2 linked regions of the Lepisosteus oculatus genome follow. The protein of the gene in region 1 purifies or fractionates together with the protein of each later gene. This does not show direct contact. Links are inferred from orthologs where the notes say so. Each region holds a gene or a part of one and is shown in the gene's direction. Other genes may lie near its edges.

Region 1 (6,872 bases):
ATAGACCTAATTTTACTGCCTAAAAACCATTACCAAAATTGTCAACAATCCAGAGTGTCAAAAACATTAATGTCTAAAAGCAAGGCGTTATTAAGTTGCTTACAAATGTTGTGCAACTGCACAGAGTCTCGGTACAATCTTCACTCGACGCCGTATACAAGGGCTTTATTGGATAACTGCCTCCGACACAGACACTGCATTATCTTTCCTCTAGTCTCACCGCTCGCTGCATGTTTTTTTTCACTATAGAAAACGAAACAATCGCTATTGCATATTCTTCACCCTTATTTTGTAGATTCGTCGTATGTAAATTCAAATTTCAAAGCCAAAATCGGTTCGCACGACAAAGAAAATTTTTAATGGACTCTTTTGGACAAATCCTGTTCGAAAAAACTGCCATTGATTTGGTAGCTAAACGTTGCATTGCATTGTCTGTATTATTCTTTTTTTGTTAATTTAATTTTCATATTACGTTTAATCCAAAAATTAAAAAAAGTAAAGGTATTTTTACCTTTAAAGATTTGTGCTGTCCGTTCTAATTTGCAATTAATACATCCTAAGAGAAAGTAGTACTGTATTTCAGTTTCTCCTGCACAAACGTCATCTAAAAAAACACGTGTGCTGATGTAATGTTACTTCTGTCAAAAAAAATACTGCTTTTCCTACAGCTGAAAGTCACATAAATCAAAGATTTCTTTGAAGATTTTGATTTTATAGATACAGAGATGCTTTCATAGACAAAGTAATTCCTTTATTTTGATGCTTATGGAGGTTATGGTGAGATTATTTAGAATTTATGTTAGTGAAATGTTATCCTTTGCTTGTAGGCTCCTCAGTGATAAACAGGAAAGAATGTTTCATTATACAAAGTTCAGTGCATGGAAACAGGCACACTGTTGTTCCTAAAGAGTGGAGTTACAGTATGCCCAGGTTTGCATACAAATATGCAAACTGAACCACAAGCTTAACAACACATGTGGTAGAAGCTCTGTAAATGTGTGTATGGTAGTTTGAGGTTATTTTCTTCAGACCTTTTTCTTAACACTGGGAAGATTGAATATTGCGGTTTGCATAAGACTCATGTTCAAAATCTTCACACAATTGCATGTTGTGGGTGAAAGCTCTTCAGTCACTCAGCTTCCACATGTGAGAGAAGAGAAGCATAATAAGGCACTTGGTACTTGAGATGAGTCATCAGTATATACAGTAGATTGCAAATTAAAGATTTCAGTCCTAAAATCCAGAATCCAGTAGGATTTCTAGGTCTTTTTAAAACATCAATGGATGAAGAACCTTTTTAAAAGAGTTAATGGCCCCATTAAGCTAACAGTTCAATTATGACCCTGAAGGATTGTAGTTATGCTCCACTGTACAAAACTAACTCAAGGACTTCACCACTTCTTTTATAAAAGGATCCGTTTTTTTTTGCCCTGTTGTAGTGTGTGACATAAGCGTGACACAGAATCGCAAAGAAATGTGTTTTTTTTCTGGTAGTATTTTTGCTGTGTTTTAGATGCCTCCATTCAGGGTAAAAAAAAATGTTAAAAAAGAAGGAGGAAGAGACTTCTTCTTTTAGGTTTGGTTGCAAAACGTCAGCATAAACAAAATGCTTGTGATTCATAGACCACAAAAAGTGGAAGAAGGCATCAGAGCCAGGCAGACCGAGCCTGAGCTCATGGTCATACTGTAGGTCACCATTTTAATCCTTAATTTCTACATACCTTACAGTTTTAGCAAGTCAATTTGTTCAATTAATTCCAGTAGATATTAAGACCTACAGGGTGTGGACATACTTTTTTGTGATCTCGAATACTTTAAATAATAATAACAATAATTAACAACACTTCCTTATGCTTCTGGACACTCCACTCAAAGCACTTTACAGGTAATGGGGACTCCCCTCCACCACCACTGATGTGTAGCCCCCACCTGGATGATGCGATGGCAGCCAGTGTGCACCAGTTCACTCCATACATCAGCTATCATTAGGGAGGAGAGCAGAGTAGTGAATTGATTCACAATTCATAGATGGGGATTATTAGGTGGCCATGATTTGGCAAAGGCCAGGGAAATTTGGCTAGGATGCCTGGGATAACACATTATGTCTCATCTGAAGGAGAGTGCCTTTTTTACAATATCACTACAGGGGCATTAGGACCCACACAGAAACCAGGGTGAGACTCCCTGCTGGCCCCACTAACACCTCTTCCAGCTGCAAGCTCAGTTTTCCCAGGAGGCCTTCCATTCAGTTACTGGCCAGACTCACACCTGCTTTGCTTCAGTGGGTTTTACCCCAATATTTCCCTTGATTATCCACTTTTATTTGCTTCTGTGGTCAAAATGAGATTGTTCCAAGTGTATGACGATTCAATGTTAACTCATAAAATCTTCTGGGGGTTAGGCTACTATCTTAATGTCAGAGTGCAATTTGTTTCACTCTATGCTAGCACTTTTAATTTTTTTTACAGTTTTGTTCCTGTTGTTAATATTAATTATCCGGGGACTGTTTTTTCCCACAAAAGCACCAGTAAATCTGCTCTAGCGTGTGAATTAAAATAATTGCATGCAACAAGTGAGCAGACAACATACATATAAAGTTCAGATTCAGGTCGAATGACTTCCTTAAAGATAGCGCAGTTTTAAAGCGTCCGTGTATTATTAAGCAACAGCTACACCAAGTGGAACTTATTAGAAAAACACATATATTAGTATTTATGTGTGGAATATGTAATGGAATTCTCTAACCAGATCCTAGAGACCCATATACAGTACCTGCCGGTTTTTGTTCAAGACGAGTTGTCAGTTACACCATTGAATTTTAATAACAAGGATTAATTTGATGTGACTGTATTCAGATGTCCGACCTACTGGAGGTAGCCTTTTAACGATTGCACTTCCTCATCAAATCCCAAGCTCTTTCGTTAAAAACAAATACTTGCAAATGTTCCAATCAACCAGTTTCTTAGATCCAGGAAGGCTTAAGCTCAGCTGGCGTGAAAACCAGCAGATGTTTGGGCCTTCTCAACCAGAATTGGGAATCCTGGCAGTAAGATTTATAATTTGCCTGAATTGAGAGCAACTATTCTGGGATTTCATTCAAGATCGGTTTAACACAATTGAACTATTATCTTAATTGGAGCAGTTCCCAGGTACTACAGTGCTGCCAATTTAAACAGACCTGTAAATCCTGCAGTATTCTATACTTCCAGGGGTTGGGCAAACCGACCCTAAAACAGCAGTTCACCAGTCCTGGAGGCCCACTGAACTGTTGTCTTTTGTTCTGATGATTTAAAATAATAATAATTCTTTCCACTTATCCAGTGCTTCTGTGGACACTCCGCTCAAAGCACTTCACAGATAATGGGGATCCCCTCCACCACCACCAATGTGTAGCCCCACCTGACGTGATGGCAGCGTTAGTGCTCCAGTAAGCTCACCACACACCAGCAAGTGAGGAGGAAACAGAATAAAGGACCGGGTTCATAGATGGGGATTATTAGGAGGCCATGGTTGAGGAAGGGGGGAAAAGCTTTTTGAAAGCACCCTGGGATTTTTAATAACCAATACAGTGTCCCAATTGCTATATTGGGATAATAGGACTCACACAGGCCGCAGGGTAACCACTCCTTACTGGCCCCACTAACACCTTTTCCAGGAGCAATCTTAGCTTTCCCAAGAGGTCTCCCATCCAGGTACTGGCCAGGCTCACACCTCTTTGCAATGACGGGAAAACCTGTAAACTTATCATCAGTTAGGAATCAGCCTTCCGTGCTTGAGGGATACTGGCTGCTACTGTACCTTCTGAGCAGTTTCAGGTACTGTGGTGCACTTCCCTAAGAGAACTGCAGAGGGCGCCGCATTGCGGAAGTGAATGGATGGCTGACTGAGAGGAAGGAAGCAGGAGCTCCGTGAGGATTCCTCCAAATCAGACCAGCTGAAGGCCGGGTTTGTCGTTCACGCTAGTGCGGCGTTTTCACTGCGGGTGGAAGGATAGTTGAGACTTTGCAAAGAAGCGCAAGTCGCCATGTCGAAAAACACCGTGTCCGACCGTTTCAGGAAGGTAGACGTGGACGAGTACGACGAGAACAAGTTTGTAGACGAGGAGGATGGTGGAGAGAATCAGCTGGGTCCCGACGAAGGGGAAGTGGACTCTTTAATTAGACAATATCCTTTAAAAAAGGGTTTTATTTTTTTTTTACTGTAAATATAATCAGATTGGCTGCACGGGTTACAAATGTAAATTTCTGTTTTAATCATGCTGTGAAGTTAGGAATGATTTGATCGGTGCACCGTCAGTTGTCTGCAGCTCACACCGATTTGCAATTTCATGGGTGTGGTGGGAGTTAGTCATTGTGAACTTTACGTTCTTTTTCTACGTGTGTTTTGGCACCGTATTACTGAGGTGTCCTATCTGCTACGTTCTGCACAAAAGAGCAAAAAGCTGTAGGAAGCGGGGGATGATGTAGAAATAACGGAAAGCAAAGTACGACTTTCAAACCAAATTGGGGAATGAATGGCACGCAAGTCGTGGTTGAGTCGTTTCAAAGCGAGAATCGTATTTGCAATTACATTTTATTGTTTCAACGACGTTAGTATGACCTCGACTGCCACTTGAGTCTATCAGCAGAAATGGGCCATGTTTAATAATAATTTAATTTTTGCACAATGTGAAATGTCCCCGAGGGCGAGGTCTGTGCACGCAAGCCGATACATAACACTTTCTTGTCTCTTCTTCATATGGCTGTAGTTTGCTGATACACGGGAGTCTTGTAAATGCAGTTTAATCATTTACGCGGTATGCGAATGTAGAGATCTGTACATCGGTATTTATCATTACACAGTTGCTTTACCTGTCTGTAATTTCAGAATGGGCTGGCTTCAGACCTGTATCTTTGTCATTACAATCTCTTTCACCACTAATTATAAGTTTGGTGAAAGCGAGCTCACAGCTTCTTGACATGGTCAGATATTATTTCATTAGGGATCGTTTTGTACGGGTTTTGAAGAAGCGAAAAATGCCTCAGTGATCATTTTGGAAGGTGGTGAATATGAGTGATAAAATAAACCCTGTACAGTTGCCCCCATTTTTGGAATATAATTAAATATTTCAGCAGTTGATTGAGAAGTGAGTTGTACAATTTGCTGTATATAGCTATTGCAGCACAAAAGAGGTTTACTCCTGTGCACAGCACTGCAATTTAGTATGTCTGGGCTTGTCTGTGCTGAAGGTATTTTATTCTTGCATTCCAGGGAGCAGCGCAGTGTGACTTTCTCTCAAGAAAAAAAAACACGAGAAATTATTGCCCAATTTAGAAGATGCGGCATTAAGTACACTAAATAATGTTATCGCCAGGTTTATAAGAATTGTCCCAGTAGCTATAGCGATACTGATACGTCACGATGGGAAGTTGTGTTAATGCCATATATGTCAGTAATTTCTCTACCACACTAGTTCCTGTTTCTGCGCTTCAGTTATGATTTGCAAAAGTGTAGCTGAGGCCTAGTCTTTACAGAAAGTAAAGCCAACAGTAATTGAATGAACACCATAGAAGCGTGCATTCCACATATTAATGTATTCACAGTCTCCTCCTCCTTTATTTTCCTTTCCAACAGGGAAAAAAAAAATAAAAAATGTTTGTCGTTGAAAAAGATATTTTCCACGCACCTAGTTTAACGTAACACAGTAACGAAAATGACAACTGAGTAATATACAATTCTATTGGATGCGTTAACAGTAAAACGTGTGTAATTGTTTTTTTTACATTTGTCATTAGGAAATATTATACATCTTTAAGGGTGGGATATTGTATTGCTGCTGTGTGCATGCATTTTTTCCTTCACATCCTTCTGCACAGGGAATCTGATGGGGGCCCTACAAGCTGTCCTTAAAAACCCACCAATCAACACAAAGAACCAAAATGTCAAGGCAAGTTCTTATTTTTTGCGGCTCCTCTTGTTATTATGCCCTGACCTGACCATTATGACCTGAGAATTTGATCATGAAAGTATTTTGCTTGTATTTGCTTTGAGAAGGCCCATTAGTTTAACTTTTAAAGCATAAGAGAATAAGGGACAATAATGTTCTGTTTGAAAATTCCTAGTCAGGTTATTGAAACTAGTTAAGAGAAAAGGTTGCCAACACTGATATAACTACAGTTTCTTACCAAGTTGCCTTGGTTTTATCAAAACTGGTATTTTTCGTACCAAAAATGGCTCGCATTTCCCAGTTCGATTTTGTTTTGGCACTCGTGCACTTTATATCAAATGAGTTCGTCATGAATCAGTGTTTGTTCATGTTGGCGTTGTGGCTGAGGTAGTGTTGCAGCCTCATCCCTAATTCTGCTGTCTCCAGGATCGGGCGGAAGGCCTGGTTCTTAAAGTGCTGAGCGCGTTCAAGACCGGCGACATAGAGAAAGCCGTCCAGTCCTTGGATAAGAATGGAGTGGATCTCCTCATGAAGTACATCTACAAGGGCTTTGAGAATCCCTCAGAAAACAGCAGCGCGGTGTTGCTGCAGTGGCATGAAAAGGTTAGTACCTGTTGTCTCACCTGTTTCCCTCTGTTTCCGAACATCCGTTTTCCGGAAACTCTTTATGATGAATTCTTTCACAACAACAGGTTTAACAAGTACTTGTGGGGTTCAACTGAAAAGCCGGTTGGATTTCGGTATTAACTCCCAAAGGTTAGCTTGACCTTAAGATTTCCCTGTTTCTGTTCTAGGCTTTATCTGCTGGTGGTGTGGGCTCCATTGTTCGAGTGTTAACTGCCAGGAAAACCGTTTAATGGAGACTCGGGACAGCTCTGCTTTACAGAGGGATTTGCTGGTACAAAAACCAAGAGTTGTTTCACAGGGCACTGTGGAGTACTCCTTC
Region 2 (7,774 bases), on another chromosome or scaffold:
TGATCCTGTATTGGACAGTTTGAAACAGAAAATGGATGGGTGTATAATATTGCCAGAGTAATATAACCATGTGTACTTCATACATACAACATAATATCCAATGTTATGTTATTATTCATAATGTAGTTGGCTTGACAAACATCCTTGTGTTATAAATCATTCTCTGAATTTAGTGCTGTGGTGCTTTTGCATGACTTCAATGTGAACTTAATTAGTTGAGTTTGCAATGTGATGGTTAGGCTTAAATGGATTGGTGGCTTTTATCTGGTACAGGTAAGAACGAAGAGATTATTAAAATGATAAATGCAGAACAGCACAATGAAAGTAAGTGAATAGTGCAGAGAAAATACAGAAGTGAATACTTGAAACTCCAAAGGTTATTAAACAGTTTCATTAATAGAAACGGAACCGATTGTTCAAAGTGTGTCAAACTTAGCACAAATGCAGCCCATGAAATGCTTGGGCACCAAAGTGGAGTTGTTACACATGTAGGGGCAGTAGCTCCACTAGCAAGTTTTGGATATTGATTACACGTGTTTGGTGTCAATTTGATTAATTGATCATTCAATTTGATTCATTGATTGTGGTACACTGGAGAGACTTTGATTGTTTTAAGCACTAAATCACTTCATTAGTGAGAAGGTTGATTAGGCACAAGTGATGAGGTGATTTAATGCCAAGCCGAATGATCTGGTAATTGAGGCGTACAACAGAGCAGTCGATGTGGAAGTTCTGTAGGTTCGTTAGAAGTCTGTAATGGCTCTATTGAGTATTTATGGGATGAAAAAAATACTCCTTTGCACTATCACTTTTTGTCTGTAGAGTGTGTGGTTTTCAAGATCACAACATACTGCTCACATTCTCCACGATCGAGCACGGAAAAATGTGGTAAATGTGGTAAAATCATTAAAATCATTAAAATAACCTTGTCTACTTCACAATTACACTGCCCACAGAAACAATAGTGAATGTAAAATAGTGCGCTTTACTTATAGTGTGAAAGAACGTTATTCAAAACATAAAACAAAACAAAGCTCACCTGAGCACTAACCGAAATCTCTTTGAATCCCTCAGTATAATTAGAAAGTGGGTTAGCTACACTGTCTACTGGCATGAATCAGTTTCCACTCATTTTTGGTTTCTTTTGTTTTCTTGGTCTCTTTAGTTTAACCCCTTTTCACACTGATGCAGCACATTCAGCAAATTCTCTGTTTGGTGATGGCAGATGTGGAACTATGCAAGTTCCCACTTTACGATGCTTAAATTGTCACTAGACCAGTTTAATTTAACCAGCGGGGCAGATGACAGCAGTGTCATTCCTTGCAAACTTCTGGGGAATGTAATCCAGTTAATATTGCCCTTCTACAACATGTATGTACTGTATAAATACTGTATGTACAGCTTTATCCAACATGGAAAGTCATACATAAGAAAACTTAAAAGGAATCTGACCCTGTCTTGCCTACTATGTAAATGCTGTGATGTCCTTTATAATGTTAGAAGAGTTTTAGCATAGGAGCCCAACAAAGTTGTTTGTATATACTGTATATGTATCTGCAATATAATACAATAATAATGTTTCAAACTTCTCTGATTATAATATACATACAGGTAGGGAAAATGCACTAATTAATTATTAACTTATCAGTCACCAATGTTTTGAAATTCAAAAGCATCTGAGTGTGTATGGGTTGCATGCTAATCTTACATCTGAAGAAAGTTTCATAATGGGGCACCAGATAATTTTTTTACTCAATTGTAGACTTTAATGAACCATTCAGGATTTTTAGCTCTCAGAGCTACTATAAATATTAGTGTTTTGCAGAACTTGTCTTTACTTGAAAGTCCTGTTTGGCAGGGGCTGGGAAAGAGAGTGATAAAGATGTTTTGAGAATTGAAACAAAAACAGTTACACAGAAAACATGGATACTTTATTGGGTCACTAAACATCTGATAAAACATATCTTTTAAAAAAAGTGACACGTTTTAAAGTGGTTCAATAACAAGAAAGGTATATAAAAGCATAAATCTTTCCAGTGACATACAACAGATATCGACATGATGTTTCAGTGGATTTATAATTTTTTTTCTGTTCAGGAGTCTTTATAAAGGAGGTCTACTGGGATCTGTCGATTTCATAAAAGTTGAATGAGATTTTTTTAAACAAAATTAATTTACTGGTTAATGTCATGATACATTTTACTGTATTATGATACATTACTTCAATACTTAGCTGTTATGAATCATTGGAATTTTGTAGATGTAGTTTATCCTATGTTACTTTGGACAAATGTTTTCATAGGAGCAGTTTTGAGGTAAATAGCATTTCTGACCATTCTTTAAATGTAAGAACATTACAGGTTCTGCACAATTGTCCCATTTCTCAAACAAAGTGCAGTGTGATTTAGCAGACAGGACCTACTGTAATACTAACCCATTACTTTGATATAAACAACAATAATGAAAGTATGATATGATCAATTCTTTAAAAAAAATTGTCAGAAGGGCCTAAGATTAAAATATTTTAATTCTACATGTATCAAATCATCCATTGATTTTCTAACTGCTTTATCCAATATACTGTACAGCATCGAGGGAGAACCAAAGCCTACAAGTAAAATCAGTAGTTATAAAAATAAACTAAAACGTCATTTAATAACAAGTCTTGTGTAGACTGCAGATTACAATACCAATTTTAATATTAAGATGTTTCTTTTTTAATACAGCAAGAATAGGTTCTGCAACAGTAATTTTGGTAGCATCCCCATCTAGTGGTGAATCATGACAGTTGTCATTGAATATTGAAGAATTTAGCTTAAACTATTGCTGTATAAAAACAAATTAAACAACAGTGTTGAAAATAGGCAGTCAGTGTCAGTGGTGAAGCCAAATTTTAGAGCCTAGGAGTCCAAAATGCAATGCATATGGAGATAACAGGAGAAAGCTGTATTATTCTTGATCCCTACAGCCACAAATAGTCTGTGTGCACCAATGTGCTTGGGAGGTTTGTGTTGGCTAGTTATGAATTTACTGTTATATTCATTGTGGCAGGCAAGATTAAACGACTGAAAATTCTGCTGATTGTGTGATTCTGTGATCCTCAGCTCTGGAATATACTGTAAATGTCAATCTATAAAGCTGATGGGTTTCTTTAAGCCATTGTTATTATTTTTTTACTTTTGGAAGGGCCTTATATAAATGATTTAAGTAGAGCTGAGTTGGGTAAAATTAGCAAACCCATTCACAGTTTTACTTAAAAGTTAAATTTTTTACATGTAAAAATATGAAATATGTACATATGATTTATTTTTCCAAAAGGTCATGAGCTTGTGGTTCATTAAAAATATATATCTGGAGCGTTTAGAGCCAACAAAGAAAGACCAAATATTTTATATTATAGGATGGTCTGTCCAGAAAAAAGGCAACTATATTTTCTGATAATGTATTTGAAATTCAATTTATGAGAAGACATACAATTTCACCACATCTCTCACACACAATAAAAATGTAGACGACTACAGATGTAAATGAATTCCTTCTCAGATTTACAATGGTTATATCTGTTCAGGGTTGCGGGAAAGGTGTAATCCTTCACCCACCTCCAAACCTTCTGTATATATTTAATTGCTTCCAATTTTGTGACCTGAAAAAATACAGTACAGACTAAATATATTACTCATTCACATCCTGTGAGTGTGCCAAGTTCAATAAAACAATAACACATGTGAGGTAAGCAACATTTCAAATTAACTCCTGTCATAACCTGAGTTTTCCAGGAGATGAATAATGTAAAAAAATATACACCAGCCCTTTGCACCATTGAAATCTGCATACTTGTTCATACAGTATTTAGTTAGAAGCCTGCAAACCTTAGATGGCTCAGAAATCACCCATTTTGAATTATATGGATTTTTTTTACATTTAGCACTTTTAAAAATGGCATGTCTGAATGAATTATCTTTGTTTTGAGCCCATATCTTTGTTTTTTCCATACACAATAGTTGCTCTTATACAACAAACACTAATTTTGCTATTATAAATCTGTGTCTTGTTTTCATAGCAGGCACCTCATACTGTATAAAGCCCTGTTCAGTGCCTGTGCAAATAAAAGCGGAAATTATAAAATAAAAATACAACGACAGTATTTTCTCACGGTTGTCACCCCCTAAAAATTGCAATTCCAATAGCATTAGACAATCTGACTTACAAATTGTTTTATCATACGTGTCGACTGACACCCACTGCTGTTGACAAGATACAAGAAAAGCTTTTCTGAACAATGTGCTTTTTTTTTTGCAATCCTACACCCTTAGTGCCTGCCCATACTGTATCTTGAAACTAAACTTTTAACTTCACTGTGTGACTATAAACGCCGTGACTGTGCTGTATTTTGCAATTTAAACATTTCTTCTTAGTATTGCACTGTAACTATGCCTACAGACATCCAAGTACATAATGTTCAATGTACAGTATTAACTAAATCGCCACGGAAAAACTAAACGAACTAAACACATGGAGCAAATAAACACGTCACGGTCCAAGCACGTACTACTCTTTCACAACAATATGAAGCTGATTTATAGATGCTAGGTATTAAAATTTTAGAACTAAAAAGAAATAACGTGTTTGATTGTCTATGCAGCTACAGCATGATCCCAAGCAGGCCATACCCGTTGCCATAGGGACAGCTCTCCCTGTTTGTTTCGGATTAATATCCAGGAACGACTCCATGTTTTCCACCTTTGACTCGGGAAGTATTCATGCTGTCAGCATTACGGAGGAGTAACGGTACATGGGGGTAATCTGGCATTGCAGTGTCCTGTAGTACGGTTTCCTTAATTTAGAAGTCAAAATACATATTTTGTTATTTATTCATGTTACAGTAAAACAGGGATATTTGTCTAACCCAAGCAATGGCTGTGCATTTACCTCCTTGCGTTATTGACTGTGGAACTGGGTGAGCTAGCGATTGTATTTAATTTTTGTTTTTTAATGATCAGTTTACTTATTGCACATACTTAAAATTGAACAAACACCTCTACGGCACACGTACTACATAAACACGTTTTACACTGAGGTTTTCTTAATGAGTGTTGTCTAAAATGACGGTCACTGACATTTCTTTTGGTTATTATAGTGTCATTACACGGGTGCACGTCGTTTAATGACAGGTGCGGATTGCTGTCATTAAACGATTTATTATATTTAATAATTTTTTACTTGTGTAAAAACTAGGTTTTGTCATAATGAAATTGTTGTCAAGCTTGTTTTCAAATACACTATCTTAAATTAACAGTGGGGACCTGTAGAATAGAAATGACACTCGTTTATGGTAGATAGTAATCGATTATGCATATAGTGTACAGTAGTGTGTTAGCTTTTTACAAACCATGGATACTCCGTTATACAGAAGGTCTGTGGATTACAAGGCTAACAGGTTAAAGTTAAACTTGACATTTATCACATTGTAGGGAAAGACAAGAATAAATGCTATTTTTGGACGCATATATCATAATATGATAATCTTGCCTGTGGTTTGAATTACATTATCAACTTGTTCTATATACCAAGTAAAATATGAAAATAAATAATAGCTATTATTGTATGGTAGCTATGATACTGAGGGTAAAATAATTCACATACAAATGTTAACACTTTTGTACTGCAGTTGTAAATTTAAACAACAATTAAATTGGTATACAATGGTAGAAAAATAATATATCTAAAGCAAAGTAATCACCAAATATTGCTAAATGAATTCTGAATATGAAATATCTCTGAAATACTTAAGTAGTACTTTTGTATATAATCTTGGGCTCAGCTTTTCTCACAATAATAGTGGTCATATTTTGTTTGTTCAGGTTTAACTAAAGTGGCACAAATAAATGAAATTCAAAATAAAAGGTTTAGTGTTTTTAATACCGTATGCACATCTGTTGATAGGCCTATATACTGTACTGTATGGCCCCCTTTCTTTGCAAAATTAAGATATTTTACAGTCTGTGCGTGGCTCAGATTCTGTAATAGTGATTGGTACTTTTTTTTTGTAACATAAAATGTTCTAAAAGTTCAACACAGCATTTAGCTGAGAACTGATTTTACCCTTTTCATTTATGATTTCGTGGAGGGATGGGTAATATTTACCATACAAAATGAAAAAGTGGAAACATGAAATTCAGGTTTCTAATCTGCTTCCCTGTTGATGAAATGTCTCTAAAATGGGTGTGTCATTTGTCATGGACTGGGCCATATCATTAGTTTGCTGTGACTGAGATTCCTTAAAGTCACAACTTTAAGCGGAACACAATTCACCAGGTATTGCAGAGATTGGTAGGTTTGGGACAGCTGGGTTATTGTAGCATATTAGTGACCACAGTGACGATCTGGGTGCCTTTGAGTTTACAGTGGTTTTAGCCTCATCTTTCCTCCATTCTATGCAAATGGTGTTGTAGGAACTTCAGAGCCTCAGAACTCCAACGGTGCATCCCTGAGAGGAAAACACGGTCACTACTCAATCTTAATGTGTTGATTAGTAGGCTGTAATCAACTGTGAAAGCTGACTACTGTAGATGTAGCAGTTTGGGATTCTAGACAGTGGCAAGGGGACTTATCAAACATGTACTGTACAGTATGTTAACCTCTATGTCCTTTGATGTATTATCCTTTTCAAACCTCATGTCTGTAACAAAAGAAATATTTTATGTAGCTGGTTATGTCATATTTTTAAAAGACTGTATCTGTGTATATCTTTGGTTGCAATGAATAATCGGTCAAGATTTTTGGATACTGCATAAACTTTCAGATGGGTGCATTATTTTCCTAACGTTGTTAGTGTATCGTAAGGGAATTAGAATGTTAAATTTGCACTACAGTATCTTGTTAGTGCATTGGTAGGCCTCCGTATTTAAATGTAAAAAGACCTGAAAACTTGTAATTATCATGACATATATTGATGAGGAATGGAGAAGTTTCAATTTTGATGTTCTTTAGTACATTTCATCGTATTGATCAAGGCTGCTTACAAATTTGAGTTTAGTCATGCAAGTGATGTTCATTTTGTCTCTAAGAACTACAACATTTTCTTTCCATTAAAGTATATGATATTGGTTTTTGTATTTCTCACATTTAGGCTTACAACACAGACAATGCAATGAACAGATGAACAGGTGCTTGTGAAATACAAATTGCTTTCTGTTGGCACCACTTTAAATCACTGAATTTGACAAACAGGCATTTGCAATAATAATGCAGAATTATATATTTGGGTCTCACTCAATGCAGGCCTATATTTTGTGTTTTTCAAAGGGGTTTTAAACAAAAATAAAACTAACACTAAGTCTGCTCTGTACCTACAGATACACAAAGATTGGCTATGCTGGGAATACTGAACCACAGTTCATCATACCTTCATGTGAGTATTAATTAAGCAGTTAAGGCCATGAAAATATAGCCAGCTTTTATAGTACTGAGTACTGAGATTCAAAGGAAACAACTGCAACAGATTCTCAAAGTTATTATTAGGAAAATAACCTTCTGCTTTGTAGCATTTTCTGAAAACACACACATATGGAGTGTTACATTTCTTTTGATGCTCAGTACACAGTGATACACTTTCTTACATTAGGTCAAAAACTATGATGTAGAAAAAGCAGTTGAATAATACTCCAAGAAATAACTAGGTGGTGCACAAAAATCGAATGTACATTATTTAAAAAACACAAATAGGTGCATTATGAAAAAAGTCATAATTTCTTTTCGAATACGCCTCTATTAA

The links. The genes of interacting proteins can lie anywhere in the genome.
Region 2: the proteins of arpc5b (region 1) and actr3b purify together in Homo sapiens (affinity purification with mass spectrometry; 5 studies listed by BioGRID and IntAct, counting the BioPlex papers as one, with this or other methods). This does not show direct contact. The link is inferred for Lepisosteus oculatus from reciprocal best matches to the Homo sapiens genes ARPC5 and ACTR3B.

The regions. Positions count from the first base shown.
Region 1 is NC_090704.1:8,352,248-8,359,119, reverse strand, and holds the start of arpc5b (actin-related protein 2/3 complex subunit 5b), read left to right. Parts: upstream 1-3,863; 5' UTR 3,864-4,024; coding exon 4,025-4,165; intron 4,166-5,854; coding exon 5,855-5,926; intron 5,927-6,352; coding exon 6,353-6,529; intron 6,530-6,720; coding exon 6,721-6,783; 3' UTR 6,784-6,872. UniProt on the Homo sapiens protein: Component of the Arp2/3 complex, a multiprotein complex that mediates actin polymerization upon stimulation by nucleation-promoting factor (NPF).
Region 2 is NC_090701.1:10,983,837-10,991,610, forward strand, and holds the start of actr3b (actin-related protein 3B), read left to right. Parts: upstream 1-4,752; 5' UTR 4,753-4,913; coding exon 4,914-4,957; intron 4,958-7,355; coding exon 7,356-7,411; intron 7,412-7,774. UniProt on the Homo sapiens protein: Plays a role in the organization of the actin cytoskeleton.